Linked DNA regions of Tamandua tetradactyla. The protein of the gene in region 3 interacts with the protein of the main gene of each other region in a pairwise test. Links are inferred from orthologs where the notes say so. Each region holds a gene or a part of one and is shown on either strand. Other genes may lie near its edges.

The links.
Region 1: the proteins of TRIM27 (region 3) and BAG5 interact in binary tests that used the Homo sapiens proteins (3 or more experiments, as listed by UniProt). The two-hybrid records come from large-scale screens. The link is inferred for Tamandua tetradactyla from reciprocal best matches to the Homo sapiens genes TRIM27 and BAG5.
Region 2: the proteins of TRIM27 (region 3) and NEK6 interact in binary tests that used the Homo sapiens proteins (3 or more experiments, as listed by UniProt). The two-hybrid records come from large-scale screens. The link is inferred for Tamandua tetradactyla from reciprocal best matches to the Homo sapiens genes TRIM27 and NEK6.

The regions. Positions count from the first base shown.
Region 1 is NC_135340.1:89,304,606-89,312,194, reverse strand, and holds the start of BAG5 (BAG family molecular chaperone regulator 5), read right to left. Parts: upstream 3,049-7,589; 5' UTR 2,928-3,048; intron 2,794-2,927; exon of another isoform or gene 2,474-2,793; intron 728-2,473; 5' UTR 700-727; coding exon 1-699. Other genes in the region: COA8 (cytochrome c oxidase assembly factor 8), read left to right, coding at 3,291-3,413. UniProt on the Homo sapiens protein: Co-chaperone for HSP/HSP70 proteins. It functions as a nucleotide-exchange factor promoting the release of ADP from HSP70, thereby activating HSP70-mediated protein refolding.
Region 2 is NC_135328.1:46,340,171-46,347,129, reverse strand, and holds the start of NEK6 (serine/threonine-protein kinase Nek6), read right to left. Parts: upstream 3,049-6,959; 5' UTR 2,659-3,048; coding exon 2,649-2,658; intron 1-2,648. UniProt on the Homo sapiens protein: Protein kinase which plays an important role in mitotic cell cycle progression. Required for chromosome segregation at metaphase-anaphase transition, robust mitotic spindle formation and cytokinesis.
Region 3 is NC_135331.1:193,510,822-193,518,730, reverse strand, and holds the start of TRIM27 (zinc finger protein RFP), read right to left. Parts: upstream 3,072-7,909; 5' UTR 3,033-3,071; coding exon 2,613-3,032; intron 1,463-2,612; coding exon 1,367-1,462; intron 1-1,366. UniProt on the Homo sapiens protein: E3 ubiquitin-protein ligase that mediates ubiquitination of various substrates and thereby plays a role in diffent processes including proliferation, innate immunity, apoptosis, immune response or autophagy.

The DNA of each region.
Region 1 (7,589 bases), on a different chromosome or scaffold from region 3:
GCACACATCTAAAGCATCCAGATCGGCAATCAACCCCGAGAGCACACAGGATAAGTGCCTGCAGGTCTCGTTGCTGTTCACGCCCATCAGAAGTGCAATCAGAGTGCCTCTAGCCTTGTTCACGTCACACATCACAGAGTTAATTTTGGCAACTGACGGATGTACATCTTCTGAAAGTGGCAAGGAAGGCTGCTTCTTCATGCAGTCTTCAATGATCTCTTGCACAGCACAGATTTTGGTTAAAGTGTGATACCTCGCTTTCCGCAATGAGATCTTTCCTCCAGTTTTAACGTGTGTCAGTCTCAAAATGATATCCTGGATGCCTTCTTCGAATTCATCAGTTACACAGTTGCCTCCGCTATAGAATGGCACAATCTTTTCTTTCACCAAGGACTGGGCTTCCTTAAAAATATTCTGTATTTCCACCCGATGTGGGTGGTTTGCATTCTGCTCCAATTCTTTAAGAAGACGCTCAGTCTCCTGTGCCGCCCTCTTTCTAGCTTGCTGAATATCTCCTTTTCCTTCGGTATCTACAGAGTCTATTTCAAAAAGCTGTTTTGTTAGAATTCGCTCTAGTTTCTTGTAATTCTTGTCATCTGACACACCACTGAAGCCAATTACTTGCTGTTCTATACTTTTCACTTCCTTTTGGATTTCCTGAAGCCTACTAATAGAAGGGTGTTGATTTCCCATATCCATACTTTTGTTGCTTTCAGTTTCACAAGCACTAAAAGATGACAAGAATGATAACTTATTACAGCACAAAGTCTCTGCAGAATGGCAATCATATATTAAGTCTAAAATTTTCACTTAAAAATATACTTAGAATAAAAGGGCTTATCATTATTGTAATCCCAAAGACAGACATACTCAAGTACAGAAAGAAGGGTGACACATCAACTCTTTCTCCTGAAAATAACCTACACATGGCAGAGATCATAAACAGCATCACTGTAGTTAGAGCATGAGCTGGAATTCTGTCAGCTTCAAGTTTCTTCAGCTGGAAGAGAACAGCATATGCTCTCCTAGAGAAGTATGGCATCTCCCCCCTCTCTACATGGGACATGACTCCCAGGGGTGTGGACCTTCCCAGCAGTGTGGCACAGAAATCCTAGAATGGGCTGGGACTCAGCACCAAGGGACTGAGAAATCCTTCTGGACTGAAAGGGGGAAGAGAGAAGTAAGACAAAATAAAGTGTCAGTGGCTGACAGATTTCAGAGTCAAGAGGCCCTTTTTAGTTTAATGTGTATTAGAGAGGCCAGAGGGAAGTGCCTGAAACTGTAGAGCTGTGTTCCAGTAGCCACGTTTCTTAAGGATGATCGTATAATGATACAGCTTTCACAATGTGACTGTGTGATTGTGAAAACCTTGTGTCTGATGCTCTTTTTATCTACGGTATGGACAGATGAGTTAAAAATATGAATTAAAAATAAATAAATAATGGGGAACAAATGTTAAAATAAGTTGAGTAGATTGAAATACTAGCGATCAATGAAAGGGAGTAGCAGTAAGGGGTACAGAAAAAAACAGGGGAAACAAAGGTTAAAATATATTGGGTAGATGGAAATACTAGTGGTCAATGAGAGGGAGGGGTAAGAGGTATAGTATGTATGAATTTTTTCTTTTTATTTCTTTTTCTGGAATGATGTAAATGTTCTAAAAAACGATCATGGTGATGAATTCACTACTGTGTGACGATATCGTGAGCCATTGATTGTACACTATATATGGAATGTTTGTATGTTAAGAATGTTCGTATTTGTATGTTGTTTTGGTTTGTCAATAAAAAAAGAATGACGTGAGGGCTAACTATTAGCTTGGAAATAACACAAATATTTTAGGTCTTAAGTTAGGAAGCTATTTTTTGGACACCAGCAGGGCATCTCTGCGGAACATAAAGAATGGGGGAGTAAAACTAGCTTTACTAGCCTTCCAAACACTAATCAATTTCCAGAAAAAGTAACTTTAACCAAGAGGAACGGAGCCACTGGAAACAAGTACCAGAAATTCTCAAACACCCTAAATGTGCCCGTTTCCACATTCCTTTCCGTCCCTTTATGCACTTCTCCAAAGCTACCCGGTTTTTCAAATCCAACCGCACCCTATCTTCCCAGCAGAAAGAAAATCCCGTGGGGAAAGGAAGAGTGAAGGCTCAACCTTGGGCTCTGGCGGATCAGGACTTCCCCAGGCTCTACTACGCGCCCCTCCTAAACAAACAGAAAACAACACAACAAAAAACACCCCGCAGAAACGTGACTCGGCTCCGATGAATTCGCTCGCCTCCCATTAGGGTCCAAAATGGCTTAACCCCTTTTGTGTGTATCCTCGGGTTTCTACCGAACGGCTCACTGAAGAATAATCGATTGAAACCAATTCCGTGTGGGCGTCGGAACCACGCAGGCCTTCCCGACGCCCACGAAGGGCAGCCTGCGTTCCTGCCTCCCTCCTCACCCTTCCCCCTCCGAACTTTACCCAGGAAAGATCTAAGCTGGTTGCGGCCTTGGCTTCCCGTAGGTGAGGTGGCGAGGTGTAAGATCAGCCCTCTACGGGGTGAGGGACCGGAGCTGGGCCCCAAGCTGCATCCCTCTCACCCCGCCCCGCTAGGTCTGAAAGGGGAAGCCGGTGAAGGGGCCGGCGGCGGAGGCGGCAGCTACTGGCCGCAGCGGCCTCTCCGGGCGTCTCGGCCCGGGCCCCAGGACGGGCCGGCCGGCTCTGACCTCACAATGGGCCCGCGCGGAGAGGGGGCAGCGGCGCTCGGAGCCCGGAAGCCCATCCGGGAGGCCCGGCCAGTGCGCAAGGCCGCGCGGAGTACGGCTCCGGGAGCTGGGGCCGGCCCGCGGCGAGCCCCGCGCAGAGAGCAGACCGCGCCCGCCGCCCCGGCCGAGGGAGACGGCGCCGCGTCCCCGCAGGGCTGCGCCACGCTCACCCGTCCGGTCCGCGCCATCGCGACCTCTGCACCTCTGCACCGCCACCCCTGTCGCAGCTCCGCCCCGGGCCGAGCGCCGCCAAGCCCGGGAAAAACGCCCTCTGGCCCCCGCGCCTCACCGCGCCGCGCCCCGCCGCCAGCCGTCAGGCACAGCAGCCCGGAGCCACCCCGGCCACCGAAGAGCCGCCGGGATCCAGCAGCGCGACCCCGCAGCCCCGCTGTCCACTCGACCCCTCACACCGCGGGGAAGCGCTCAGTCGGCCGCGCTCCGCCCCCCGCCTCCGGCTTTGCGATCCTGCCGTAAGGCAGCTTCCTCGCCGTCGCGCCGCTGTCGTGCGCCGCGGGAGCCGTGTACGCGGGGCAATGGGGGCCCTAAGGCCCCCGAGGAAGACTTCCCTTCCTCTTCTGTTCCGCACTTTGGCGGGTCCCGGCCGCCAGCCGGCCCTTGAGCGCGGCGCCGAGCGCAGGGATGCGGCGCCGAGCCGAGTAAGCGGGGAGCACGGAGAGGTTAGGTCGGGAGGGGTGACCGCAAGAGGTGAGGAGCCGGTCTGTGCCCTGAGGCCCGCTCCTCGACCCCTCACACCCGCGTGGACCCCTGCGGAGAGGACTGAGGCCCTCGGGAGCAGGGTCCCCCAGCCGGCCCGGGGCTGGTGCAGAGCAGCACGCGCGACCGAGTGGGTCGGGGGCATGGAGAATGGGGAGGTCCTGGGCGAGGGGCGCCGGGACCCCCATCCGGATTAGGTCAGTAGCTGCGAAAGTTCCTGCGTCCCCTCCTTGGTCTAGATGAATCTGAGTATGCCGGCCACCTCCATGGGGGAAAGCTGACTGCGCTTTTGTTAGTCTAAGGTAGTCAGCAAGTTTGGACGCACCTGTTTTATTCTCGAGGGTATTTATATTGTATATTTGAAGAGCTCTTGGTGTGGTCAGCGGGTAACTTTTCGTTCTCGTGCCTTGACTCCGTTAAGATAATTAGTGCTTTTTTCCCAGCGATGGCGAGCTTTATCATCCAACTTTTGTAGGGCTTCACTTTGAATCGTTATTCTTATTTGGAAGCTCTATGGGCATATATACACTTGACTGCCCAAAGATCCACGAAGTATGTCTATAGCAAGAGAGGCAAGCAGCTTTCATAAATTGCACTTTTGTTGTGAAGTATATTTGGTTTAAAGGAGGCGGAGGCCTTGATTGCAGCTGTCAGATGAAAATGTTGACTAATGGTGTGGAATGGGCTGCAGATAAAATATTTAAACAAATCAAACAAATACTAACACATTATTTAGCAAGGGGTTAATGTGGGGAGCTGGAAAGCTTGATAGGAACAATAATTAAAGGATGAAAAAAAAGTTAAGAATTCCAAAACGTGCGTGCCTTTTAAATGTTCATTTCTATTGCTCTGTGGCTTTTAGCACACTTTTATAAATGCCGGTTTTGAACTTCTGTCCTGGCTTACAGTTTAGGCAAGGCCTTACGCTGGCAGGTAGTTAACCAGACCACAGCCCTGGCTCTATCCTATGACACAGAAATTTACCCAGCACCTTATTTCCTTGAACAGAAAGATAAAACAGGTATCTTGAAAATCCTCTCGGAAGGCAAACTAGAAATCAACCGAGAACTTTGCCCATGGCGAGGACTTACCTAGGCTGCTTGATGAACTAGGAGTCCTGGAAAACAGAAGAAGGACGCACAAGCCAGGATTTCTCTGTTGTCATAAAGGCCTTTCCTTCAAGTGAGATAAGTCTTACCCTGGGTCTGATACTCAGGGTGAGGCCTCTCTCTGCCTTTTGTAGTCTCAGTGACTTACAGCAAGCCCTGTGTGGGCACCTGCTGGCTTCCCTAAACCTGCTGAAGGTGACGATTGTGACGATGGTGCTGACCAGATAAAAAGTGGAGTGGCTGGCCAGTGAGTCAGGTCTTGCCCAAATCTAGCATGGTGACTTGTGTTGTTTTTCTTAGAACTTGAGTTCCCTATTAGCTAGATATTGTATGCAACATAAAAGAACAGTTTTTGCTTAGGGCGATTTGTATTTCCTATGTGTTATCGTCTTTGTATGGCTCCTGAGAGCACAGCAGTTTCTCCAGGTAATGACATACCTGCAGCTGAGAGAGATTGCTGTCTTTCAGTCTAGAAATTTAAATGTATCTTGTTAAAAGTAACAGGTTGTGAATCTTGTTTTCTTTATCTAGTTGTTACCTTTTAATCCTTCCTGTCTAGCAAGCCATATTTTTTTTTTTTTTTTTTTTAATACATGGGCAGGCACCGGGAATCAAACCTGGGTCCTCTGGCATTCCAGGCAAGTGTTCTTGCCTGCTGAGCCACCGTGGCCTGCCCCAGCCATATTTTTTTGTTTGTTTGTTTTTGACTTTCTATTTTGAAATACTTTCCAACTTACAAGTCAGTTACAAAAATAATAAAAAATACCCCAAAATATCCCTCCCTCCTCCTAGATACCCACATCCCACTATTTTAACATTTTGCTACATTTGTTGTATCATCCTTTATCTATCTATCTATCTATCTATCTATCTATCTATCTATCTATCTATCTATCTGTCTATCTATCATCATCATCATCTATCTGTCTGTCTATTTATCAATCCATTTCCGGAACACCTGAGTGTAGGTCATATAATTTAAACTTGAACACTGAAAATTGCCTTTTTACTTTTCCTAAAATCAAGGATATTCACTTATTTGACCACTTGAGTACAGCTGTCAAGTTCAAGAAAGTTAACATTGACATAAAGCTTATAGTCTATATTCCGATTTTTATTATATCCCAATAATGTCTTTTTTTATTAATTAAAAAAAATTAACAAACAAAAACATTTAGATACCATTCCATTCTACATATACAATCAGTAATTCTTAATATCATCACATAGTTGCATATTCATCATTTCTTAGTACATTTGCATCGATTTAGAAAAAAAATAAAAAGACAACAGAAAAAGAAATAAAATGATAATAGAGAAAAAAAAGACTATACATACCATTCCCTTTACCCCTCGCTTTCATTTACCACTCTTTCAAACTGAATTTATTTTAACATTTGTTCCCCCATTCTTTATTTTTATTCCATATGTTCTACTCTTCTGTTGATATAGTAGCTAAAAGGAGCATCAGACATAAGGTTTTCACATTCACAGTCTCATTGTGAAAGCTATATCATTGTTCAATCATCATCAAGAAACATGGCTACTGGAACACAGCTCTACATTTTCAGGCAGTTCCCTCCAGCCGCTCCACTACATCTTGAACAACAAGGTGATATCTACTTAATGCATAAGAATAACCTCCAGGATAACCTCTCGACTCTGTTTGGAATCTCTCAGCCATTGACACTTAGTCTCATTTCACTCTTCCCCCTTTGGTTGAGAAGTTTCTCTCAATCCCTTGATGTTAATTCTCAGCTCATTCTAGGGTTTTTCTCAGTCCTTTGATGCTGAGTCTCAGCTCATTCCAGGATCTCTGTCCCACGTTGCCAGGAAGGTCGACACCCCTGGGAGTAATGTCCCACGCAGAGAGGGGGAGCGTGATGAGACTGCTTGTCATGTTGGCTGGAGAGAGGGGCCACATCTGAGCAACAAAAGAGGCTCTCTTGGGGGTAACTCTTAGGCCTAAATTTTAAGTAGAATTGACCTATCCTTTGTGGGGTTAAGTTTCATGTGAACAAACCCAAGGACTGGGGGCTCAGCCTATAGCTTTGGTTGTCCACACTGTTTGTGAGAATATCTCTTAGGGAAGTTGAATTTCTCCCAACTCTCACCATTCCCCGAAGGGGGAGCAAGCCATATTTTTTATTAGTTCTTGGCTTTGCCCTCACTTTTTTAGTTAAGGAGTCCTGTGTTCCCATCTGGGACCTCTGGACACCAGGTTTTAAGAGAAAAATATAGAATTTAGAGTTAGGCACTGTTCTTCCTTCCAACCCCATATTAAAACTCACCTCTTAAGTGTCAGTAGTCACTTCCTGCCTGCTTGTACCATGTATGCTGCTGTGGTTTTTATCATTGGTTCCTAAACTAGTCTTGCATTAGAATCACCTGGAATGCATTTTCCTTTATTTTAAAGAAATTGTAGGTTTACAGGAAAACCATGCATAAAGTACAGAGTTCCAAAATAACCTGGAAGGCTTTAAAATAAATATTGAGGCCCATTCCGGTGATTCTGACTTGACTGAGCCTAGGGTATGGCCTGGATGTCAGGATTTTTAAGAGTGTGTCTCATAAGCTGCCAAGTATGAGAATCATTAATGTTTGCTTGTAGTCCTGAATTTTATTAACATTTTTAGGCATAGTTAACATTTTTTGACTGTATATTAACATTTAGCATTAAAAGTGTATTAACATCTGGGAGGCCACGGTGGCTCAACAGGGCGAGTTCCCTCCTGCCATACCGGACACCTGGGTTTGATTCCTCGTGCCTGCCCATGCAAAAAAAAAAAGTATATCAACTTTTTTATTTTGCTACTTTTTCATTAAGGAGAATGATCTTCAAACCCCAAAGTATGGATTCAGAATAAACATCGTAAGGAAGAAGTTAAAACTGAGGTAAATGAGAACCTGGTGAGAGGTTTTGGGCATGGAATTTTCAAGTCTAACATGGATATTTTTAGTATTTAAATGGCTTTCAATAAATAGTTGCTAAAACAAAAACTGGGGCAG
Region 2 (6,959 bases), on a different chromosome or scaffold from region 3:
TGCTGGGTGGTGGCAAGACGCTGAACTGAGACACGATGTGTGAAGGGGATGCTTGTTCTCACGTCGGCTCCTGGGGCATCTGGATGGTTCCCGGTTCATTTCCGAGACGCCATCACGTGGCCCGTGAATGGGGGCTTATGACAGAAAGCAGAGGGTGGGGACCAAAAGACCCCATCACAACGGGGCGAGGGTTCAAGCCCTTAGGGTCTGTGCCATGGTTCATTTCTGCATCTCCAGGGGTCTGTGCATAGTAGGTACTCAGTAAATGTGCACCGAGAAATGAATTAATTCATCCGTACCCTGCTGCCCCACACCACAGGCTGGCACAGGGCTGGGCACACATGGGGGATGCGGTGATATTTTCTCTCCTGTTTCATTAAATCCCCAGTGCCTAGAACCGGTCAGGCACTTACGAGGCATTCGGGAAACACTGATGGATGAACAGCGATTGAAGGAATAAACGCGTGACCAGATAAATCGCTTAATTAGCTAAAAAATTAATGAGGGATAATGAGTCCCTGTCTGCTGACCCAAATTACACTGTGTAAGAAACTCCTTCGGAGAAATCAAGTCTCTCCAGTTACCCTTAGCGGGTAGGAAAAGGGTGTTTTCTGGGTAATTACATATCTCGATTGCTAACATTAGCACATCACAGCGACCAAATGTCCCCGAATTTTCAGCACTGCGCAATTTCAAAGATGCCGCCCCACAAGCACTTCATGTTATCAGGAGCTTCTCACACACCAGCGACCGAAGAAGGGTTTCGAACCGCCTCTCCCGCCCCCAAACGGCACCGCAGCACTTTTACAGAGCACTGTCCATCTGGGAGTTTGTAAACCGTGGTCACCATGTGCCTACCCTCTGGATGACTGATAGCTGAAGACACGGGATACCACAAAAGCATGCTCAAATGAAAACTATCTATGGCTTGGAGTCTAAGTATTTTCTGTTCATGTTTCCCCAGGAAGGTGAGTAAGGGACCGCGTTGATTCCTGTGTGTTTCTCCCAGAGGCCAGCACGGAGGCTGGTCCTAAAGTGGTGCTCGGCAGCTTCGTGCTGACGCGCCGTGAAAACTGGGCACGAGTCTTACTCATCAGTGACCCCAGCGCCCAGTCCAGCACTCTCTGAGCCTGTCACCCCTCAGGACAAACCGCAGAATGCTTCCCAAATGCTGCCCTGTCACCATCAGGCTGGCTCTAAGGCGGTCCCCACCCTTGTTACAGTCTCTGCCCAGACAAAAACCCAGTCCTCATTTCCTCTTCGGCTAGCTGAGGAGGAGGTTGGCATTTAAAACAAACACAAAGGCCACTGAAATTCCTGGGGGAAGCAAACAAAGGAAATGCACACACAGACACAGGGCTGGGAATGCCAAGTCCACACTTGTGATTCCGCTGTAACCAAATGCAGCCGGGCTCACCGGACCCATCAAACCCAGGGTGTGGGATCCCTCTCCCCGGCTCCCTGTCTGCCTGCCGTGTGGTGCCCAGTGGTCCCGCCATCTGGACACCCACCCCGGTGGCCCGCCAAGACCATACCAGCTGGAGAACTATTCTCTCTTTCAATCCTGGGATTCCCTGTTTGCTGGACCAGTTCATTTGCCAAACAGAGGTGGCTTGGAAGGATTAGCCCCTTGCCTTCTCAAAGCAATTATACAAAAGATGTATTCTTTAAACAAAAAGCATGCTCCACACAAAAATGCAGCTTTAAGATATGAACCCTGGTACCCATTCCCCAAGCCCCTCCATAGACATTCAGCAGCTACTTCTGCAGAAAAGCAGCAAAGGAAGGAGACCCATATAACTCTGGCATGTGCAAGCCCTTCTGGGTTACGTTTTGGCAACCAAGTTCCTCCTACTTGGAGCAATTTGCAGTTGAGTCCTTTCTCTAGAAACTTCCTCTTCATCGAGGAGGGTCAGTTGGGTGCAACCCAGTTACTCAATGAACAGTAGGAGGAGGGAGGAGGGTGGAGGGGCCGTTGCTGCCAGCAAAGCCTGCTAACTGATTAGTTAACTCCATATAAACATTCTCCAAGGATCCTGCCACTTGCCCACATAAAACTTCCCATTTGCCCAATAAATACTGAGCACCTACTGTATGCCAAGCATGATCTGGGCACATTTCAAGTCCCTGTCCTCAGGAAGCTTACTTTCAGTCTGGGAGGCCAATAACACATATATGATGTCAGGGAAAGGTAAGCGCCATGAAGAAAACTAAAGCCTACCCAGGGAATAGAGAGTGAAGGGACAAGAGGGGCTGACTAATAGGGAGAGGATGACAGCGTCTCTCTGGAGAAGTGATGTTGCAGAGCCTTGCATGAAGTCTAGAAGAAAGTCATGTGAATATCAGGGGAAAAGAATTTCAGAAAAAGGGGATGGTAAGTGCAAAGGTCCTGAGGTGGAGTATGTTTGGTATGTCTGAGGAAAGGAAAGGCAGCTAGAGTTGTTGGCACAGAGTGAGCCAGGGGGAAACTACTGAGAAGTGAAGCTGGAGAAGCAGCAGGGCCCCACCTCTTAAAGACCAAACCTTGCCCAGAGCCTGAGGGCCTCAGCAGCCTCCCCTCCTGCCGATCGCCGGTGTTTTTTGTGGCTGAGCCTCCCTGGCCCTTTCTCAGGCACCAGATAAACAATTGACGCTCCCAGCAATGGTACCTTCCCACATGCTATTCCTTCCGGCCACCTGGGAGGTCCTCTTCCAGGTGTGCGACTGGCCATCCCCTGTGCTAGCTCCTGGCCTAATCGGTCCTTCCGGAGGTCCTTCCAGCCGCTGCCCTCCTCTGCCAGACCCGCACGCTGCAGGTTTCCTCACAGCACTTACGCTGAAGGCAATTAAGCACCACGAACCCTGGACTCTGCATCTGTTTCCTCGTCTATAAATCGGGCATGACAGTTCCTACCCCACAGAACCGCCGGGAGGATGAAGGGCGTGAATCCATGGAAAGGGGTCAGAATAGCACCTGGCACCTGGTACCCACGGAGGAGCTGCTGAAGGGACTAAAGGCTGACGAGGCAGCAGGAGGTTCCTGGCTTCACAGTGTCCCAGGCCTGTCCGCAGCGCAGGGCCCTCGTCCTGAACCCCGTGCCCTGTCCCACACCTCCCCACTCACCCACTCACCCTGCACCCCAGCCCTCTCAGGCCTCCCAGCTTCCAAACGCCCTGCCTGGGACACGCCCGTGCCCTCTCCCTGCCCAGCACACCTCACATCTCCCTCTAGGCTGGCTCAGATGCCCCTCACTCTTGGAAGCCATGCCCCCCCCCCCGTTTCCCCAGAGACGACTGCTGCAAATTGTTCACAAACACCTCCGAGGTGGGCATGACCCAAACTCTGTTCCCACCCAGCAGGGAGAGGCCAAGGCACAGCTTTGCCGGCTCCCGACACAAAGCCAGACCCAAAACGTTGGAACACATTTCATGAATGAATGAATGAACGAACGAACAAACGCGTATGTGATGCGCCACATTCCAGCCAGCACAGGCGTGTCTGGTTAACCAACTGGAGTCCACTCGGCCTGAAGGACCAGCGTGGCAGGACTCCAACCACAAGGCACACAGGCCTTGCCGCCGCCTCTCTCTGGGCCTCAGTATCTCCACGTGTAAACGGAGAGGCTTTCATACTTTTCTTTTTTTAGGCATCAGAACCTTTTCTTAAATTAACTCCTATGCAAAACCTCCTTATGTAAAACAGGTAACAGGAGAAGCACTTGGCCGTATTCGTAGGGGCCTTGCAGGGAAGACTGTGACCCCAGGCCCCATTCTTTTCAGATTTCTCATCGTCAAGTTTGATTTTTAAGGCAAATCATGCCGAACTGTGCCTGAGAATCAAGGGCCACGAGCCTGGGGTCACTCCTGCGTTTTTCCAGACACATTCGCCCGGCGGGGGAGGGGGAGACACTGGATTCTGAGCCCCCCCGGAGCCTCCGGCGCCCTCTCCCCAGTACACCAACCGGGGCGGGGTCTCAGGTGCGATACCCGTCTAAAGAGCCGGGCACAGTTCCAGCAGGGGCTGCCGCAGGAAGGGCGGCCCCTTCCGAAGGCCAAGGATCTCTCTTCTCTTCCTCGGGGAAAACCAGCCGGTTGAGGGAACCCCAAATGACTCAGGAGGGGGCGCAGGGCACACACAGACCCCCTCAGGCCTGGCCGATGGGGGCTCCTGGGGGAAGGGAGTCTCGTGCTCACTTCTGACCAGGAATTGGCTGCCCCGTCGCCCGAGTCTGTGACAGCCGCTGCTGTCAGCACAGACCACGGATGGGGCCAACGCTGTGTAAATAATTAACAAAACACCTGCCTCGCTTAATAAAACACCACGGCTGGCGCAGCTCTCGTGGCCTCCCGAGACTCTCCCAACTCCGAGAGGCGGCACCAAAAACGTCTGAAGGCTCGCTTTCCTCACCACGTGGGGCTGGGAGGGGAGGAAAGCACAATACCTGTTTCCTGAGACACCTCAGGGCCATCCTGACATGTAAATCTTGCCTCTCTCCAACCTGTCTCCTTCCACCCCATTTGGGAGTCATGGGCATAGAAAAGAGCTTCAGCAGCACCCGGCTGGGGGCGGGGCGGGGCGGGCACCAACACCTCCTCTCAGCCCTGGGCAAGGGCACTGCAAACCCTCGGGGCACATTCTTCCTGCCTGTGTGACTCTGGGCAAGTCCTTGGTAATTAAAACCTCCAGGGGTGACCCTCAAGCGCCTCCCAGGTGCCACCCACATGTTGAGCACTTCCTGAGCATTATTTTCATTGCATTCTCCCCCAAGTCTTAGCAGGTCATCATCCCAACCCTGTTTTCCAGATGAGGGGAGTGAGGCCCAGAGAGCTAAAGTGACTTGCTCAGAAATGTCAGGTCTGGAACTCAAAGCTTGTCTTCAAGCTTTGATTGTGGTTGCGAGTCCTCCCCTCTCTGGGCCTCAGTTTCCATTTGGCCGAGAATCTGTCCAACTCCCATAGCCTGTCCATCCCAGTCCGCTGAAATGCCACGGGTCCCTCTCGAGCCCAGTGCTCCTGGAGCATGCTCTCCTCTGCACTGACAGCCTACTGAGTTCCCCGTTGGCAGCAGGCATGATCAGGGCTGAAGAGCCTTTTAAAGTATTATCTACTTGCAGATCACTTCCCAATAATTCCCAGTTTCAAAGACCTTGTGGACAATCAGGGACGAAAGAGGGCAGGCTCTGGGGAAAGGCAGCGTGAACAATCCCAGCCCTGCTGCTCGCCCGCAGGGACGTTATATCTGAGAGACTAACCTCGGCACCTCAGCTACGACTTGGGCACAGGGGAGTTCTTCAATGGATTTCTGTTCCTTGGGGTCGAGCATTGCCCCCCCTTCCTCACAGCACCCCCTGCCCCCCACCCCCAGCCTCAGGGTCCAACAACGAGGGTAAAATGCAGCACTGCAGGCTCCCAGCAGCTACTCCCCTCCCCTCCCTTGTCAGAATTCCTTCACACTCTATGGAATTCTTGCATAAAGCCCTCTTTCTCTTTTTCTATGAGGTCACCATCACGCAGATGTCTAAAAGAAAGAACGGCTCCATGTGAATCAAGACAGTTGGAACCGAATGCATTTCGGATCACGGCCAGTCGCGCCACCTTTCAACTCCAATCACCTCCCCTCATTCACCTCCCATATGGAGTCAGCTCGGGGGGTGAGCCGGGTTTCGTGGGATGCTAGGATCCTACCAGTGGATGCCAAGGAGGCTTGGCTAGAAGTCTGGTGCCTTTGCAACCAGACCACCCGAGAAGGCGCCTGTGGAAAAATCCAGAATTGGAGACAACAGTGCCAGCCTGGAACTAACCTGGGGCCTGTGTATGTGGGTCTGTTTCCATACAAGCAAATCCCATTAGAGAGACAGATGTCAAAATGCTAGATCACATTCCAATTTCAAGTTCCCCTATTTAACGTCACAGGAAATTACACCATCGACTGATCTGCCCCAAAGTCGGCTTCTCTGTCTGGGAGTCAAGCCTGAGATCGCCACTTCTCAGGTTTGGCCAAAGGAAGACACTGAGCGGTGTGGGCGCCACTCAACTCAGATGGCAAGGGGTGAAGTCACTGGCCTAATTTTCTCTTTTTAAGCTAAATTTTCCCAAAAAGCTATCTTGCCACTACCCAAAAGTCGGAAATGAAAAGATAGCCACAAATCAAGGAGCCACTAAGGCCCCCACAGTCTGCCCCTGGTTGGCGGCCAAGTCTAACTACCCACTGCCCGCTCATTTTAAAGCAATTTCACAGACACCCAGGAGGCACCTAGACCACCCCAATGACTGCCTTCTCTCCAAGAAGCACCCTTGCTCCCAGAGCTCTGTGTTCCCACTGCTGCCAGATACGATGGCCTAGGAAAGTTCTGTATGGCATGTGTGCACTACTTCCTAAGAATGATGTCAGCAAAAAAAAAAAAAAAAAAAAAAACCGATAAAAATGTGGAAGCAAGGACTATTTTTACCACCCCAAATCACAGACCAGACGGAAGAGAAATCCATCAATGCCAGAAATGTGGCTGAGCCTTTGCACAAGATCTATTATTTCACACCTTAAATTAACGCATCTCAAAGCAATTTGCAAATGTTCATCAATTTGCAGAACATGCTTGGAAGGGAGAGAAATACCTTTTCCTTTCAACACCAAAGGAAACTTGCAGAGGCACAACACAACCCAAACCACACAGGTGCTCACACACAAACACAAGCATTCCTTTCAAGTTCAGTGAAGTATAAACCGTGATCTAAATGGAAACATGAATAAAAGAGACAGTTATCCGACTGAAATGACAAGTGACAAGAGGCCTATGTAAAAATGATCATGTTTTCAGCTACTCAGATTTGAGCATCAGACCCTTTGGAGAGAACTTTTATCCTCGGGGTCAGAACTCTGGGCCCTTCCTCTGAGCAGTGTTTGCTTTCACCACACACACAAACCTAGAGGAGCCAACCTCTACTTGAGCCCAGATGGCCCATCTGGGGACTCCTCTCTCCAC
Region 3 (7,909 bases):
CCCATTCATTTAAGTGCTGTCTGACTATTTTTGTGCTACAACGGTAGGCTGGGTGGTCATGACAGAGACTGTACGTCCTGTAAAGCCTAAAGTACTTCCTCTCTGGCCTTTTACAGAAAGTTTGCTGACAGCTGGTTGAAACACCCCTTCTCAGGAGATGTGCTCCCATCCACTCTCCCTCTCAGTCACTCACTGCAACTCGGTGATGCACACACGCCCTCATTTATAAATCCTTTCCACAAGCTCACTCCTCTCCTCAGCTGGAAAGTCATTCAAAGACATAAACTATAAAATATAATCTCAGCAACAGAAAATTAAAATAGACACTAAAGATCAACTCAATGGTGCTTCTTGAAGGAGGGCCCATTGGAACCGTGGTAGGGACAATTCTGCCTGGCACAGGACACCGTCACTCCTTGCCCCCTTCCGAGATGCTGTGACAGCCACAGAAATGCTCACGGGCTTGGGGGGGAGGGCTGGGCACCACTGGCCGTGATTACAAACCATCAGTGGGTCCAGCCTACACGCTCCACAGATCAGCAAACTGAGGCCCTGGCAGGTTATGGCTCTGCCCATGACGCAAGGGGTGGGAGGAGTGCCAGGGGGCAGACCTGGACGCCAAGCCTGTGCTCCACGACCTGCGCCCAGGTACACTGGGCTGCTCATTCCGACAGAGTCCATCCAGGCCCACTGAGAAGGTTCTCCACCCATCAGGCCTATTTTCAAGCCAGGGGAGCTGAGGTCTCAATGCGCGGTGCCAGCACAGCAAGGGGGAAAAATTCCTGCCAACAAACTTAATACTGCAGGAAGATGATGACAAAATTCCTATTGATGGGAGAAGATGACAAAATTATTCACAAGTGGGACTATCCACTACTAGTCCAAGAGTTTACTTTTCAGGTGCAAATATCTCTACTAGGAGGGGATTTGTAATATTTTTATTTATTTTTAAACAAAACAGCAGTTATTTTTTTCCCCTCAATTTTCAAAACAAAACCCACAAATACCCCAATCAGGAACTAGCATATCAGCCACTGGGCAAGCCCTGGGAGCAAGGAGAGAAGGCAACAGAGAGCAAAGCTCAGGGCTGAGGAGCTGTGAAGGCAGCAGCTCAGAGAAAAATCACCCATGTGGCCCTCTGCAGAAGCCAGCAGCTGACACCTACAGCAGGTCAACTCTCCAGACCCTGGCTCCAGAATCTTTTCCCCAAATGCGGGAAAGGATCTGGTTTTCCTTTGGGTGTGCAGGGGAGTTCCCAGCTGCCCTGGGGGTTGTCCTGACCTGCATCTAACAACTCTCAACACCCTGGCGGGGAGAGCAGTGGGCAGCAGAAGCAGTGTCAGCTGCGCGCTGGAGCAGCACTCACCAAGAGTTCCGCTCGCGCCTGCTCCCCTTGTGCCCTCCGCCTCTTCTTCAGGTCTTTCACTCTTTTTAGGTGATCCAGTTGGTTCTGGATTTGTTCCTGAGAAAAGCATGACAGTTGGGCAGTACAAGATGAGGCAGTGCTTTACCTCCGCGCCGCTGCTCTGTCACAGATGGACCCCACACTCCTGGTGCTGGGCCTGCCTTTGGACAACATGGCCACCCTCAGTGCAGGGCGCAGGGGCCAGCGCCACCACGCTGCTCCTTGGTCACTTTGTGTCTCACACAGTGGGTCTCCCCCTGCCTCAAGAACACTGCATGGTCTCTGGAAATGCAGCTAGACTAAGGAGTCAAGGCGTAACTTCCACAGGTGAGAAGGTGCAGCAGGGGTGAATTCACCTTCCCACCTACTCAAGGGTTCTGAGCCCAAGTGAATTAATTTAGGTGAAAACACCATAGACGTTAAGTGACTGATCATGCATGAAGTGACAGACTCACATTTTAAAATGCATAATTGCAAGTGTGTTGCTGCATCCCTCATATGTAGAGAAGACGCCACAGCAGCCTGCAGTCCTTGAATGCTACCTTACCACCGTTTGAAGTGTAACGCTTCGTTTCCTTGTTAAGGTTTAGCTGTGTGAGTCTGTTGGCTCAACAGTTGGCAAAGGCCACCCCCACCCCCACCCCCACCCCCACCCCCACCATTTCACTTAATCTTCATGAAAATTGTGCTGTTATTCTCCACGAGTCTCAGAAATGTTAAATGACCTGCTCGAGCAGTCAGGAGCCGTGTTCCTTTCGGTGGAGAGGAAATGCTGACAGAGCTCGGTGTGTGCGCAGCCAGCCAGCGTCTGCGTGGATTTCGCGGAAATCACCCGGGAGGGCAGGGTGCGCGGGGCGGGGGCCGGGGGCGCGCGGATGCGCGGGCCGGGGGGCGCGGGCGCACGCACACCTGGCACTGCCAGGGTGGGGCCCGCGCGGCTGTCTTTGTGCGGACGGTCTCCCCCAAGCCTTCCATGCAGGCCACGGGGGAAGGGGCGGGCTGGGGGGCCTCTGGCTCCCTCGCAGCCACAGGTTTTCCTCCTAAAGCCGGGCGCGGAGGCTCAGAGCGGACAGGGAGGAAATGACGGCTGGGAAGCACGCGTCCGGCTCGGCCATTTTCTGGGCGGAATGAAAGGGAAGCCCCCGGGCGCCCGCGTCCCTTTGTCCAGCCAGGTCCCGAGCCCCCCGCCGGCGCGCTGGGCGCTCACCTTGAAGCCGTCCACCGCCTCCTCGAGCGGCAGCACGCTGTGGCCGCGGTGCTCGCGCGAGCGGTCGCACACCACGCAGATGGGTGTCTGGTCCTGCTCGCAGTACAGTTTCAGCGGCTCGCGGTGCTTCTCGCACCCGCCCATCTCGCCGCCGGGCCCCGACGGCCGCTCGGAGCGCAACTGCCGCACCAGCTGGGTCACGTTGGCCAGGTGCCGGTTGGGCCGCATGTGCCGCTGCGGGAAGGTCTCCCGGCACTGCGGACACGACACATTGGTCTCGGCGGCGCCCCAGCAGCGCGCGAGGCACGCGCAACAGATGTTGTGGCCGCAGTCGAGCATCATGGGCTCGGCGAAGTACTGCAGGCACACGGGGCAGGTGGTCTCCTGCTGCAGGCACTCGGCCACGCTCCCGGAGGCCATGGCGCGCGCCCGCGGGGGCGCCCGGGCATGGGCCCCGCGCTGAGGGCTGCGCTCCCGCGGGCTGGCGGCGCGGGGGCAGCCGAGGGGCCCCGGACGGGCGGCGCCCGCGCGCTGAGGCCTGGACGGCCGGGCCGCTCCGTGCCGCCGCCCCGCCGAGTGGGCCCCACTGGCCTTGGCGGCGCCGCGCGGGCTCGCGGGGGGGTTGGGGGGACGGAGCGGGCCGGGCGACGCGCGCCGAGCGCGCAGGACAACGTGGCCGCGTCCGAGCGGATCCCGGGCCGCCGAGACCCCGCCCGGCGCCGGCGGAAGGGGCGGCTCGGGGGCGGGGCCTGGCCGCGGCCTGCGGCGGGCGCGCGGCCCCGCCAGCCTCGGTTCCGGCCCGTCGTCCCCCGCCCGGCCCGCCGACTGTTACGGCCCCGCTGCCGCGGAGGCCCGGAGCTGCGGCCCGGGCGGGGCTGGCGCGGCAGGGAGCGGCCCCTGCGCAGGCCCTGGCCCTCTCGGCGCGGCGGCGGCCTGCCCGGCCCGGGGGCTGCCCGCCTTTGTGCCCCTTCGCCGCCCGCGCAGGGACGCCGCCTTTGTGTCGGGGGCGCTGCCTGCGGGCCCCCTTCGGCACGCGACGTGGTGCACCCTGTGGAAACACCCCATTCACATTCGGAGGCCCTTGCGACTTTGTTAGAAAAAAGGAAAGTCTATCGTAAGGTATGTCTGCTAAGAAACAAATTAAGCTGAAAGGCAGTAGAGGCTTTTACTTGGGGTTGCAGTTCAGGGAGCCCAGGATCAAGTTTCCACCCAGATCGTGTCCCGTCTTGGCCTAAGGAAGAGAAGAGAAGGCGAGCTGCACGTGGGGCGTTTGGGGCGCTCTTCCCTGCCTCCCTTGGGGCCTCCCTTAGCCGGCCTTGGGGCTTGTTTGCGGTGCCTGCACGGCCTCGAGTTCGCAGACATTGCTGCTCGTGGCGCTGCGCCTTGGGCAGTTTGTGGGTCTGGGTGAGACCTGCAGAGGGGCAACCTGGCTCCGTTTTCAACGTCTTTACCGCAGGAAGCTTTATTTTGTTTTTTTCTCTCCGGCGAGCATTTCCGAAGGGCAGAGACGAGTCACACAAGCCCAGCTCTCCTTCCCTTCTGTGCCCAAGCAAGTCTGTTTGCCCTTCAGATCCCGAGTTCCCTCTGGTGAGATGGGCATGACGAGTACGCTGGCGAGAGGGGAGACTTCATTATACCTCTTTTTTCTTTTGATAACCGTAGGATATTTATCCACTGAAATAGAGTGGTTGTGTTGAGTAGGGCGGAAAAAGTGTCTGCTCCTTACCAAAGCCCGGGACACGGGGAAGCCTGCGGCAGCCCACCCTGGAGTAGCTCACGGCCCTGGAGTAACTCACGGTTCTGAAGTAGCTCACGGTTCTGAAGTAGCTCACCGCCCTGGAGTAGCTCACCATCCATTCTCTTTCCATCAGCCAGTGGACTTAGAGTTATGTTGTGTTACCCTCTCATCCCTGCCTTGTATTTCCTAATTTTCTTTGGAATTTTCTCAGTATTGGCAGACTGTACATAAGCAAGAGGGGCGTCTGCTTCCCCCTTTGCTTTCCAGGATTCTGCCCTGGCCTCCCCTGGTGGGCAGGAGGTCTGCCGAGCTAAGTGAACTTGCCAAACCCAAGTTCACCCCCCACCCCCAAACCACACTCTGACTACAGAACTCTAGTTCCTGGCCCAAATAACCCCAACCCAATTCCAGAAAAATATGGGGTGCTTGGACTAGCCCACATCACAGAGTCTCAGATTCTGGTCTTTCTTTGAAATTGGGTCAAAAATTGACATTTGGAGGAACTGAAGGATGCTTCTCGGGTTTACTCACAAAGGAGTAATAAACATTGTGACTCAATGTACAAATATGAGAGATGGAGATAAGTAGCTGAGGCTGCCCACCATCTCCTTATCTCAGGGATGCCTCGCTGCTGTTTTTGTTTTCCAGAATTTCCAGTGTAACTCCTTAAAATCCCCAGCAGTGGGTGATGGTGAGAAAAGATGGAATAAAATCCTTGAGGAGCTGGGGTGGGGTCAGAGAAGAGGGAAAGGGAAGAGTTCCACTTGGTAATCCCTGTCAGCTCCATTGTTTCTTGAATGCGCAGAACGCCAGGATGCCTGAAAAGTGGCCACCAGGCCTCGGCCACACCTGAGTCAACTTTGTCTCTTTTAGGACAGTGCAGTTTGGACGTTGGGCCAGGCTCCAAGGAGCCCTGGAAGGTTGGCATGTGCACACACACGTGAAGTGTGTTGGGTGGGGCTAGGGCGGGGCTGGCGAATTCAACTCACTGCTCGGGTCCCTGCCTCGGGCAGGTGAGGACACTTGAGAAAGGGCTGTGCCCCGTCTTCCTGAAAGGCATTCCTAACACATTGAATGTGCTTAAATGCTTAGATGAAGGAACAGTGAACAGTCAAAATAATGAGACTAGCCATTAATTTAATGCTTCCACTATCATACTTTTGGCATACATCTCATCGTTGTGAACGTTATTTGTTCAGTTATGAAGTGACAGGTGCAAACTCAAACGCGCTTTGGAAGTAAGAAGATAACTTAAATGAGCAGGTCAGGTCGGGGACAAAATAGGGAAAGCTGGGGACATTGTCTAAATGGAGGACAGCGGTCCCTGGGAATGTAGCCCTGTCCCTTGCCAGTTACGGCCACCGAGGATGCCGTCCAGCATACTGCTAAATGTTTAGTTTTTTTCCCAAGAGAAAGCAGAAATCTAGACTTTCATGTGAAATTTACAGACTTAAGTGTTTGGCAACTTACTAAAAATTTAAAAATCATGCCTGCAAGGTGAAATTGGCCTCCTGGCCTCCAGTGTGGGGCTTCTGGTACAGCTCTTTATTTAAAAAGTGTTTTTCAATCTTGACACAAAATGAACGGGACAGTTGATGACTATTCAATAGCTAATTTCCACTCCTTCCTTAATTTTTCTTTCTCTGTATAGCCATATGCCCAGTTAAAAGATATTTTTCTCTTACTGCTAGTAACATGGTAAATTCATGAAGTCAATGCTACAGTATAAAATCCTGTGCAGATAATTTGCCAGAGGGCACCGTCAGCTCACCCAGCACTTCCTTCCCGCTTTAACGCCATCCTGAGCCTGTGGGTGACTAGGGGACCTAAGTGGAAGTTGTGTGGGAATTCTGAGAAAGCACCTTAAAAGGAAGCCTACTCAGCTGGGAAGTATGCCTTTTTAATGCCCACTCCCTTCCTACTTCTTCCAGCCTGAAATGTGACATGATGGTAGGAGCTACAATAGCCATTTTGGACCATGAGGCAACCTTGAAGATGGAAGCCAGTGCTGAGATAGTGCAGCACAAGTGGAATGAACTTACATTCTTATTGTCTGTAGAGTGCCTGCATCCAAACTTCATGTGCATAAGACAAAATAAAGCAAAACACTTGCTTGTCTTGTTTAAGCTGCTTATTTAGATATACAATGAAATATACATATACAATGAAAGCTAAACCTGAAAAAATAAAATATTATTTTATTAATAAAATATTTTGTTTAAAAATGAGTATGAAATTCCTACCTGCTATCTCTGCTCAACCTACCCACCCCAAGGGTGTCAGTGATTTCTGTTAGTATTGGCCAAATCCAGGAGACATTTCTCAGGCTTCAGCTTTTCCTTGCTTCATTCTCTGATTGATAAGGAGAGATGGCTGAGGGTGTGGGAGTGGTAAAAAGTAACAATGGTGGAATTTCTCAGGGGAGAATAGGAATCAATTCTGCTTGGGAGGGAGGAGTTGGTGTACCTTAGGTATCTTTTGAATTTTAAACCATATGCATGCATGCCTTAGCTATTCAAAATGAATTAAGTTAGAAAAGTAAGGTAAACAAATGAGCTCTCCAGTATTTGAAGCACTCCTGATTTTTGCTCAGGGAAATAGATATTCTATTTTAAATTTCAAACCTTAAAGTTTAGTATAAAGAAAAGTTTTATTTCCTCAAGGAACTTTAATGGTTTTGATTGAGTAAAGAAATGGCCTTTTTTTTTAAAGAGCGAGACAAAGATTAATATCTTTATAAAGAGTTTTATAAATCAATATGGAAGCTCATTAATATTCCAATATAAAAATGAGCAAAGGATAAATGGACAACTCACAAAAGATAAAATACACTGTTCTACTTTGCTAGCTGCCGGAATGCAACACACCAGAGACAGATTGGCTTTTAATAAAGGGATTTATTTTGTTAGTTCTTCAGAGGAAAGGCAGCTAACTTTCCACTGAGGTTCTTTCTTAGGTGGGAAGGCACAGGATGGTCTCTGCTGGCCTTCTCTCCAGGCCTCCGGGTTCCAACAACTTTCCCCTGGGTGATTCCTTTCGGCATCTCCAAAGGCCTGGGCTGAGAGTGCTGAGATGAGGTATGCTGAGCTGCTTGGGCTGTGCTAGTTGAGCTCTCTCATTTAAGCACCAACCAATTAAATCAAACATTCATTGCAGCAGGCATGCCTTCTAGCGGACTGCAGATGTAATCAGCAACAGATGAGGTTCACATACCATTGGCTCATGTCCACAGCAACAGAACTAGGCACCTTCACCCGGCCAAGTTGACACCTGAACCTAACTACCACATACACCTAGAAAAACTTTTCAGAAGAAGATTTAAGGACATGAGAAAATGAAGTATAATATTAAGTAGAAAAAATAGGATCAAAACTATATATAACATAGTTTCAATTTTGTAAATACACAAATACACTGAAAAAAGGTTGAAAGGAAATATAACAATATTTGAAGTATTTTGGGGTAGAAGATAACGAGTAAATGTTTTTTATTTTCTTTATATTTTTCTGTCTTTTCAAATGGAGAATTTGACTATTTTATGGAAAAAAAGAACAAAACA